Linked DNA regions of Canis lupus familiaris. The protein of the gene in region 1 purifies or fractionates together with the protein of each later gene. This does not show direct contact. Links are inferred from orthologs where the notes say so. Each region holds a gene or a part of one and is shown on either strand. Other genes may lie near its edges.

The links.
Region 2: the proteins of MMS22L (region 1) and ASF1B purify together in Homo sapiens (co-immunoprecipitation; 4 studies listed by BioGRID and IntAct, counting the BioPlex papers as one, with this or other methods). This does not show direct contact. The link is inferred for Canis lupus familiaris from reciprocal best matches to the Homo sapiens genes MMS22L and ASF1B.

What each region holds. Positions count from the first base shown.
Region 1 is NC_049233.1:55,967,241-55,972,662, forward strand, and holds part of MMS22L (protein MMS22-like), read right to left. Parts: intron 3,377-5,422; coding exon 3,327-3,376; intron 1,664-3,326; coding exon 1,576-1,663; intron 1,480-1,575; coding exon 1,302-1,479; intron 1-1,301. UniProt on the Homo sapiens protein: Component of the MMS22L-TONSL complex, a complex that promotes homologous recombination-mediated repair of double-strand breaks (DSBs) at stalled or collapsed replication forks.
Region 2 is NC_049241.1:48,794,304-48,800,208, reverse strand, and holds the start of ASF1B (histone chaperone ASF1B), read right to left. Parts: upstream 3,571-5,905; 5' UTR 3,103-3,570; coding exon 2,994-3,102; intron 1-2,993. UniProt on the Homo sapiens protein: Histone chaperone that facilitates histone deposition and histone exchange and removal during nucleosome assembly and disassembly. Cooperates with chromatin assembly factor 1 (CAF-1) to promote replication-dependent chromatin assembly.

The DNA.
Region 1 (5,422 bases):
GGAAAAATATCCCTTCCTCCATAATCTTTCCACGAATATTTATTGTCATGAATAAAAGCAATTACCTTAAAATAAAAAAAAAAAAATTAAAAAAACAAAAAGCAATTACCTATTTGCCTTCTATGGATTAGACATATGAACCTGTGAATTCACTTAGGACTCTTTATTTTTAATTTGACATATATTGGTCCCTGATAAGAAGAGTGCATTTTTTTTGTTGTTAAATTTCACAGAAATAAACATTTTTTCATATTTTACATTTTGTCAAAGACACCTTCCTAAAATCCAAATGTTATTCAAATTGGTAAAGTTAAATAGAAGGAAAGAAGTTGAGAGTTCAGGGAATCCCATGGGGAATTATAATTTGCCATTCATATAAGCTCACATTTCCTATGGAGAATTTGTTAATTACATCGATAAGCTGGGTCATGCTGTCAATACAAATTTTTTTTTTCAATACAAATTTTTATTTTATTTTATTTTATTTTTTTAATTTTTTTTTATTTATTTATGATAGTCACACACACAGAGAGAGAGAGAGAGAGGCAGAGACGCAGGCAGAGGGAGAAGCAGGCTCCATGCACCGGGAGCCCGACGTGGGATTCGATCCCAGATCTCCAGGATCGCGCCCTGGGCCAAAGGCAGGCGCCGAACCGCTGCGCCACCCAGGGATCCCTCAATACAAATTTTTAAAAAACAAACCTTCAGTAGGAATGATTTCACAGGTAGAAAAAAAGAGCATAGTTTAAATAATCTTAATCATATTCCAAAAAAGTCTCAAAAGTTACTAAGAATAGAAATACTGCTATGATTTTGAAAGTGTAACTTTTATAAGATGATCTTGAATTTTACTATAACATAATCTAGGGTTTCCCCAAATCTTTATCAATGGGAAAAATGATACAAATTTTTAAAAATAAAGGTTTTTTGCTTTGAAATTTGTACATATTTGCATGTTATAAACTAGAATTTTTTTTTATAAACTAGAATTGAGAACAGCTATCACTGCTTTAGTATAGATTTAGTATAGATTATACTATAAGTACTTTATTTAATTAATTTTAATTTATTTAATTTTCCCAATAACTAGGAAAATATACCAACTACAAACATGAGGAGACGGAAGCAAGAGGTTTTCCTTGCCCAATGGCATATAATTAGAAGAGGAGCCAGAATTTCAGTCAGGCAATCTGGTTCCCGAGCTTCACTCTTGACTAGTTTCCCTCATTCTTGAATGAATGAATATTCCTTGTGCAAAGAAAAAAACTGATGATTTAATAATTAAATGAAACAAGTCAAACCTTAATCTGGTTTTGATTTACAAATGCTCCTAGATTAATACTGGGAAGTTCAGATAGATGTCCAATATACAAAAGTAATCCATGGAGTTCATTAACCAACACAGAGGGTAGTTGTGCCTCCAAAGTTTCATAGGGATGGACAGGAACAGGACTCTCAGCACTTTGTACTTTCAGGTACCTAAAAAAATAGATAGATACAATAAATAACTAGAGTCTGGATGAACTTGCACTCAAAAATTCATGCAGGGATAAAAATATTCATTTGACATCCTACCTAAAGATGAAAACCTTGACATAATGAAGAAATGTCACACACTGCTGCCTAATACTGTCTGCTTTGCAGTGTAGGGTTGATATCTTCCCTGAAACCAAAACAGATTAAGTGTTAATCAAAGTCTAAATAGTTAGTGGGCAGTGACAAAAAAATTTATAAGCCATACAAGTAGCAATTCATTTGTGATTTCATCCCTTCCCAATTCATGACTCTATCATACATTCTGATCCAACCAAAACTAATTAGCACTTCCTGCTGCCTGAACTTTTAACACATCTCGATGATTTGGTCTATACAGTTGTTTCTATCTGGAACTCTTCTTGTCCTCAAAATTTCTGCCTACCTATTTTCTACTTCATCTCTGTAGACCCGAGATGTGGCATCACTCTGTGATGGGCACGTAAACAGCCCGTGGCTCCCACAGCAGCTTATACTTGCCACGATTACTACACTTTTCCATCTATCACGTCCTATGCTTATGTGTCTGTATGTCCTACCAACTACAAACTCGACAGATTTTTCTACTTTGATTCATTATCACCTTATATAGTACCTGGCATGAAACAGAGCCTCAGGTGATAAATAATACTCAACATTTACTGAGCACATACTGAAAAAACAAAACAGTCCTGACAGTCGACTGCTAACAACTAGGTCATGATGTTCCCTCCCAAAATATGATATAAAAAATATTATCAAAATATATCAAAAATAATCAAATCAGACAAGGCCACTCTGTGATTATGGTGAAACAAGACAAAAGCAAAATCTCTCTGTAATCATGTCTGAATACAGAAACATGGCACTATGCAATTACAGAAAAACAAACAAAATACAAAAACAAAATATTTCCCTTGTGCAGCTAACATGACTATTACTACGCTACTAATTAAAACCCTCCCTAGCCTTTCTTGGCCCTATCTCCTAGATAAAAATTAACATATTCATTACACTGTTCCTGCTTAACAGCATCCAATCAAAAATAAAAGGCCTGGCCCCCTTAAACTCTACTCCAAATCAGACAGCACAAGTGCAAACCCTATCACAAGCCCCTCTCTTTCTACTGAGAAGCCCCAATTGTTCCTCATGATGGGTGTACTTCCGTCTTCTGTCAGTAAGCTACTCAACCTGTCATTGTCCAAAGGTGTATTCCAGGTGATCTTTAGTTGCTGAGCATCACCAATAACAGATATTAGCCTAAGCACTTGAATGATATCACCTAATCCTCACAAGAACTCAATAATGAGGTGGGAACTATTCTCTGGTATGAGACTGACAGTTAGGTAGGGTTGGAACCCAGGCTGACCAGAGTGCCATGATTCTAATTACTACACTGTAGCACAATTGCCAGAAAGGAGAAGCAGTTAGCTTGCACTAAAACACCCTGCCTTTCAATTCCCTTCACCACCTTAACATATACCAAACCCCCCAAATGAGTAACTCATTAAACGTCAAACACAGAAAGAAGAGCAAAGAAGGCAGCATGAATTCAGGCAATTTCTCTCACTTCCCACTCCCAAAGCAAGTTGCTAATTCCCTTAAAAAATGTTTAGCCTTAAATCAATTTTATCACAAATACAGAAAATACTATAAATCTCAAAATTTAAGTGTCATATTTTTCTGAATGCTAAACACTATCATGAACTTCTAACCTAATGCTTCTTCCTCCATGTTACTATGATATCCCAATATGCATCATAGACAGATGTGTAATTCAATCCTTTCTGCCATTAAAAACACTTAAAACTTACCAAAATCACAGTTGGCTTGTAATAAGGTTTCCAAATTGTACAGCTGCTGCCTAATTTAAAAAACGTAAGGTAAGTTAATTTTGTAAAAGTTTAAAGCATGTAATAATCATAGGGATAATGTTTTCAAATCTATTACATAGCTTTAGTATGTGTATAACCTCTCATTTGTCAATGTTTAAAATACTTTGTGAATGTTTATTACAGGGTCAACTTCAGATAGTAAAGATGGAGAAAAGATAAAACAAGCTTTTTTGTCTGATCTTCCAAAAACCTCTATTAAAAGCTGCATATATGTATATATAATTATAAATATCATAGACCTTACTATCATGAGATATTGTTTATATACTCTCACAAAGAAAGTTTAAGATACTTATATAAAAACCCTAGATTAACAGTTATATAATGAAATGTTAAATTGTATCAAACAATTATACTACTGAAGTTCAGAAAAGGAATAGAATAACTTAGACTAGAGTTATCAAGGAAAGTAATATTTATGATGTCCCCCTTCAATACCTGAAAGTAAGCTCTTGTCATTCTTCCTAATTGCCTTTCAACTCTTTAAATATTGACCCATCTTCATGACCTATGTCCAGAATAAAGACTCAACTCATTCTATAATGTTCAGGTTTGCAGAGAATCACTCACTCAACCTGTTTCCCAATAAAACACACAACAAGGCACATACAGTGTCCCTTTACAAGGTCTCAGGGGATGAGGAGAAATCTCTCCATCTTTCCATTTTCATTTAAATGTAGCACATACATATTCTTAATGTATTTCTGGATAATAATTTCTTTAACAACTGACTCCATTTCAAAACCATGTAAAAACTAAATATGGACTGGGTTTTAAATGGTAATATTTTGTTAAATGATAATGAATGTTGTTAACCGTGATAGAGATACTGTTTATGTTTTTTAAAAGTTCATATTTTTAGAAAATGTTTATTGAAATATTTAAGGGTGAGATAACAGGATGCCTGGAATCTGCTAAAAACACTTAACCCAGAGGATCCCTGGGTGGCTTAGTGGTTTAGCGCCTGCCTTCGGCCCAGGGCATGATCCTGGAGTCCTGGGATCGAGTCTCACATTGGGTTCCCTGCATGTAACCCTCTGCCGGGATCCCTGGGTGGCGCAGCGGTTTGGCGCCTGCCTTTGGCCCAGGGCGTGATCCTGGGGACCCGGGATCGAGTCCCACATCAGGCTCCCGGTGCATGGAGCCTGCTTCTCCCTCTGCCTGTGTCTCTGCCTCTCTCTCTCTCTCTCTCTCTGTGACTATCATAAATAAATAAAAATTAAAAAAAAAAAAAAAAAAAAAAAGTAACCCTCTGCCTGTGTCTCTGCCCCACCCCACCCCCGTCTTTCATGAATAAAATCTTAATTAAAAAAAAAAAAAAAAAAAACTTAATCAAAAAAAAAAAAAGAGGAAAAGGGACAGATGAAGGAAATGAAATAAAACCTTGATGTCTATTGCCACTGAGGAAGTATGTGAAGGTTCAGTATGGTATTCTTGCTACATTTGTTTCTGTTTGGAAAATTTCATTAAAAATTTTTAATGACGTCTAAGCTAATCATATCAACTAATCATATTACTATCTGAAAGATTTTTGGAAAGTCTGAGTTCATTCTCTAAAAAAATCAATAAAAGACTATGATGATTCAACTAACGCAGTATTTTAGTTTTCTTCCAAAACTGTAATATCGCTCAAAGCCTTAAATATTTGTCTTCAATAAATGATGCCAGACATAGAATAAAAAGTCTGAAAAAAAAAATGAAGATTCACTAAAAAAAAACTCACTGAAATCACCGCTCCAAACATGACTACTTGATTGTTGTTTTTTGTTTTGTTTTTTGTTTCTTGTTTTTAAAGATTGTACTTATTTACTCACGAGAGACACAGGGGGGTGAGGGTGGAGGGTGGGCAGAGACACAGGCAGAGGGGGAAGCAGGCTCCACGCAGGAACTCCAGGGACTCCAGGATAACACCCTGAGCCGAAGGCAGACGCTCAAGCTCAACCACTGAGCCACCCAGTCGTCCTACTTGATTGTTGTTACTGATAAGTCAAGAGAGCAATATAAACAACTCTACT
Region 2 (5,905 bases), on another chromosome or scaffold:
AACCAGAGAATTGACCGAGGGCCACAGAGAAATATTGACTCAATGGATAGGGGAGCTGATACAGTCATCTATGGAAAACAGCAGATGCTTGAAAATAAGGACCTAAAAACTGGATTGCCTTAAACTTGCTGAAGCGTTTTTAGTAGAAGCATACTTAAGTGGCTCCATTTTTAAAATATAACCACGGATGTCCATCACGAGTACAGCACAAACTCATTCCTTCTGAATACAGGACGCGATTGTACATGCATAACACGGTGTGCCTAACTTTTTAGGCAATTTCAAGGGTAACTTGACAATATTCAATTTTGTCTTTAGGCCCTAACTTTGCAATGGAACAGTCAACAACATGTTCTTCCACTATGTACGAAAACAAAACCAAAACTAACAACCTGATCGAAGGCATGTAAAAGTTCATTTTCATTGAAGTAGCTGGAGAATGTTTCCTGCCTTAAAACAAACAAACCAACACAAAAACTATCTAGTAGGCTTTTTTCTATTTATCACTTTGCCAGTGTTCAGATGATATAGATGAATCTTGGCCTGCCCACGGTGTTAGCTGTGGGTCAGAACATCTGGTTTCATGACTTATTCAAACAGTGGCTGTTGAATTTCTCAATGGAAGAGAGGAAAAACACATCTAATGTATTAAATGTGGACCCATGCCTAGGAAGCATCTATTTCTAGATGCTGAGGAGAAAAAAGAACCCCTTGGGAAATAGAATCAGTCACTGATTGGGGGTTGGGTCTTTTGTCAGAGCTTCAGTTGCTAGCGTCAAGGTAACGAGACTGAGATTTCTCCAGAATCTGAGAGACTTCTAAAGCCAGGCCCCCTCCATCTCTTTGGGAGGCAGGAAACGGATTCTCTCTGTTCCATGGGAAGAAGGCCAGGAATAGGCAGAAAGCAAGTTGGCAGGTCAAAGTCATGGACAGCCCTAGGGGTAGAACCAGAGTCTGGATTTCCAGGCCAGAGTTTGCTTTCCAACTTCCATTTCTCTGAGCAAAAGCTTTATTGTCTGGGTGTAATTAATAGTAGCACTCCCTTCATTTTCTTTTGAGAGCGTCCCAACGTGGAAATCAATTATTTGGTCAGTTTTATTTATGCTCCACTTCTAAAATAAGGGATGAAGGGACACCTGAATGGCTCAGTGGTTGAGCATCTGCCTTTGGCTCAGGTTGTGATCCTGGGGTCCTGGGATCAAGTTCCACATCAGGCTCCCCACAGGAAGCCTGCTTTTCCCTCTGTCTCTCTCTGTGTCTCTCACGAATAAACAAAAAATCTTAAAGTAAAATAAAATAAAATAAGGGATGAATTCTTTTTTTTCCCAGGTTATAATAGCAAAGGTAGAGAATTCTGGACTCAACTCAGAGACAAACTCTAGTGTCATTACTTCTACAGATAGGCTGTGTGACCTCAGAGAAGTCAGCCCATTTCTCTCTATTAAAAAATAATGACCAGCAGGTTGACTTTTGACTTTCCTGCTCTGAGTCTATAAACAGATTAGTAAAGTAATAGGGCAGGGGTTTTCCTAGGAATAGAAGTACTAGATAATGACTATGCAACCCTTTTTAAATGCAAGGAGCACAAACAGGCTGTTTGAAACCTGATATCCTGCCTTCTGGGAACTGTGAATCCCTTAACCTATTAGCTCCTTACATCTCCTGTCTTTAAAATTAAATTCTTATTCCACAGTGTCATTCTACACTTTAATTATTTATTTACACCCTGGCTTGTTCCAGAAAGGATTTAACTGGGCTTATTCTATAGTTAGTCACAAGTAGATTCCTTAATTTAAAAAGGAGAGAAGCTGAGAGACTGATCTATTGGCCCAGGCCAAAAGCACACACATCTCAAATTTTATCAACCCCAAACTAACACAAAAGGCTGGCTTTTCCCACAAACCACCCACCTACCACTGAGGGGCGCTAGTTAGCACACCATGGCCTCATAGATCCCCATCTCCCCAGCTGCCTGCTGCCTCTTCTTTAACCACCAAGTGAAGAATCTGTCTAATGGAGTACTTCCTCCTGAAAGTGGTGCCAAGAGTCCCTGGGCAACCTTAGATTTTCGATTTTTATAGACCTTTACTTGAAAGGTCTTTCATTCTTTGTGGTTCCTGTCTTCTCATCTGTGAGATGAGAACCATGTCCACCTTTATAACGCACAGATGAATAAGTCCATCTGTGAAAGCACCTTGGAAAAGATTCACAAAAAGTTCTGACCTCCCAGCCGATTGTTTGAAGCCAGATACCGTCATGGCTCAGCCTGGCCCCAACTCCCAGACTGGGTCAGCCCATCAAAAGTGTGGGAAGAACTGCTGCAATAGATCTGCTGGAACCTGGTGGGCAGACAGTGGGAACCGGCTGATGCTTGCCTGGTGTTGCCACCCTTCAGATATGAGCGTGTTTATCGAAGCACACAGACAGGAGGGAGGCACGGGAACTGGGGAGACCAAGTTATCCTGAAAGACTGGAGCTGGAAACCTGCCGTGCTTCCCCCCGTGGGCGCAAGCTGGTAAAACTGGGGCCAGGATAAGGAGGTGGGAAGCCAGGGTCCAGGGTATGTGCTTTGGGGGTAGAAAACAATCCGAAGTGGGTGGGGATGGGGTTGTTTTAAATATCATGCGGCTTAGGGAGGGGAGACCGGCTGTACGGAGAGACAAATGGGGAGATGGGGACGAGTAAGGTCTTGCCACGAGGGAAAGGGATCTCATAAGGATAACTGTGAGGGTCAGTCTGGGTGACTGGAGGTCTCCGCAGGTCAAAGAAGCTCCACAGGAAGGGGGAGGGGGGATGAGGAGGTCTCCGCGGGAGAAATGGGAGTAACCGTGGGGCGGGGGCGGCTTGGCCAGGGGTGTCAGGGGCAGTCTCTCAAGGAGGCTGGGGCTGAAGGGGAGGGGAGGAGGGGAATGGGGGGGGCTCGTTTCTCGTGGGAAGTCTGGGAAGGTGGGGAGGGGTGGGGGAGGGGTATCTCCACACCGGCCCAGCCTCACCGTCCGCCAGGGCCTCATTGCACTCGAAGCTGATCTCGAACCGGAAGGGGCTGTGGAAAGGGCTCGGATTCTCCAGCACCGCCACGTTCAGCACAGAAACCTTGGCCATCGCCTCGCCGGGCCGCGGCAGAGGCCACAGCTGGGGCCGAGCCCGCGCCTGAGTCCTCTGCGGTCAGCGGGGTAGCGTTACTCCCTACCGCTCCCGCCTCTTCTGTCCGCCGACTGAAGTGCGCCTTCGCTCCGCGCGCCTCCTTCAAATAGCCGGCCCCACCCTCCGGCCAATCACCGTCAGCGCTCGCCGACGGCGCGAGCACACCCTCAGCCAATCGTGGAGCGCGGGTCGGCGCGCGCCGAGACTCCTCGGGCCAATCCGTGGGGCTCCCTCGCCGGGGTGCTCAAGGGAGGCGGAATCATTTCTTGGCTTTTTTGGGTGTCCAGCGGGAACCAATCCCCAGCGTCTCCGACTCGGATGTCTGGGGGCGGGGGTAGACGGAGGCAGAGCGCGAGTCTCCTCTCGGCCAATCCCAAAGGTTCCCGCACCGGCGTGGTGCGCGCTTCGCCCCGCCCTTCCGGGGGACGCAGCCCGGCGGAGGGCAGCTCCGCCAACCGCCTAGCGGTGGCGCGCGGCGCCCGCTTAAGAGGGCGGGAAGGGCGGCGCTGGCTCTCGTGGTGATTGGCAGGCCGGCGTCTGGCAGGGCGGATGCAGATTCTCTGCGACGTGATTGGCTGGGTTGGTCGTGGGGCGGGAAGAGAGGAATACTTAGCTGGGGATTCGCCGCCCAGAAGCGGAAGTCGGCTGCCGGCGTGCTTGAGCCGCGTGTGGAGAGAGAGAGAGAGAGGGAAGGAGGAGCGTTTGTCGCCCTGGCGTCCGTTCGCAGGTGAGCGTTGCCGGGACCTTCCCTGAGGGACTCCCGGCCCCTCAGGCCCAGCGGCGGGGGAATCCGTTGTGAACGTTGGTCGCACCCCTGAGGGGAGACGGAGCGGCGGTCACGCGGCACTCTGGGACCGTGGCCCCGGGAGTCGGGCCCGGTTCGAATCCCGCTCTCGCCTCCTCGAGGGCCACTGGGAGGTTTCAGGTGGACGGCGCAGTAAGGAGGAGGACTTGGGAGTCCGGCCTCTGCCACTCAACTCCCGGGGCCACAGGCGCCCCGCCCCGGTGAACGGGGCCGTTGAAAACTCCCTGACTTGGCTCGTGACTGCATAATACAACCAGAAACTTGTCTGCACCCCTCGTCAGGGTCTGACTGCCGTCGCGCCCGGCCTGGGAGACCCCGGAGCCTCTGCCTCCACCCGCGACCCGTGGAAAGTTGACCCGAGCCACACTTCTCGCTTCACATTTTTCTAGCGAGCACGTTTAAGAAAAAGTAAAAACAAAAAACAAACAAACAAAAAAAAAACACCACAACGGTGAAATTAATGTTTTATCTTTAACCCAGGATAGTCAAGATCTTATGCCCACATACAGGTATAAAAAATACAAATGAGCTTTCTTCCATTCTTTTACTAAGTACCAAGTCTTCGAAATCCCGTGGGTTTTCCGTTGCAGCCACATTTTCTTTCTTGTTTAAAAAACTTTTTTTTTTTTTTTTTTTTTAAGATTTGTATTTATTTATTCGTGAGAGGCAGAGACACAGGCAGAGGGAGAAGCAGGCTCCCTGTGGGGAGCCCAATAGGGGGATGCTATGCCTGGACCTGGGATCATGACCTGAGCCAAAGGCAGATGATCAGCCACTGAGCCACCCAGGTGCTCTGTGCAGCTGCATTTTCGTCTGAAATAATCAGTCTGGCTTTAGTTTTCATAAAATTGGCAGTTGAAAATGTAGATCCACAGGCCCACGCTGTCTGTTTCCAACATGCTTACAAGTTTTCCAGGAGCTGGACTACATGTCAGGGTTTTCAGTGTAAACGTTAATCAGTTAGAATTCAGTGGGCGGGGGGGGGGGGGGGGGTGTGCCTGGGTGGCTCAGTCGGTTAAGCATCTGCCTTCAACTCAGGTCATGATCCTGGAGTTCCAGGATCGAGTCCTGCATCAGGTTCCCTGCTCAGCGGGAGTTTGCTTCTCCCTCTACTCTCATCCCATTCGTGCTCGCTCTTTCTCTTTCTTACTCTCTGTGTCTCTCAAATAAGTCTTAAAAAAAAAAAAATTCAGTGAGGGGGCAAGTTCTGTGCTGCAGTGGCACCATCTGCATGCAGGTGTTCATAAGCCCCTGTGGCAAGTGGCTGCCGTATTCCTGGAGAGTGTAGGACTGAAACAAATTGGATCACTCTTAAATGTGAGTTTATGAGTTTTCTATTCTTTGGATGGGAATACTGTCAGTATTGTCTTGCAGACTCTACGTGGTATGTTTCTTACTGCCCACTCCTCCCCCTGCCTCCCACTTCAGTTCAGCCAAACTGTCTTTTGGTTCCTTACAAATCTGACCTGGCATTTCCAGTGCGGAACCCCTACCAGAACCTCTTCTCCCTGCTCTTGGCATGGCTGGTGCCTTCTTGTCATTCAGATCTACCTGTTCACATGTGCTTTTCTCAGAGAAGCCTTTGCAAGGGTCCCCTGGCCCCAGTTCTGTCTTAGAGTGTAGGCCTGAACAGCACCAATTCAAGCCACTTGCATTTCTTACCTGGCCACCTCTGTGGTGGTGGTATAGTCATAAAGCCTCATGATGCTAGGCACTTTTTTGGGTGGAGGGAGGATATCTACATTTCACATTAAGTTTAAAAAAATGTTTTGTGGTTAAAAATATTGACAGTTTTTCCTTTGAGGTGATTTGGCTTTAGGAAGATCCCCGTTTATGATTAGCTATGATTTCTTGGCAGCCGTTGGGCATACTTGTGAGTTTTTGTGACTGAAAAAATCTAATTTTCAAGTTATTTCCAAATGTAATTCAACTGTTTATGTGAATACTAAATTTAAT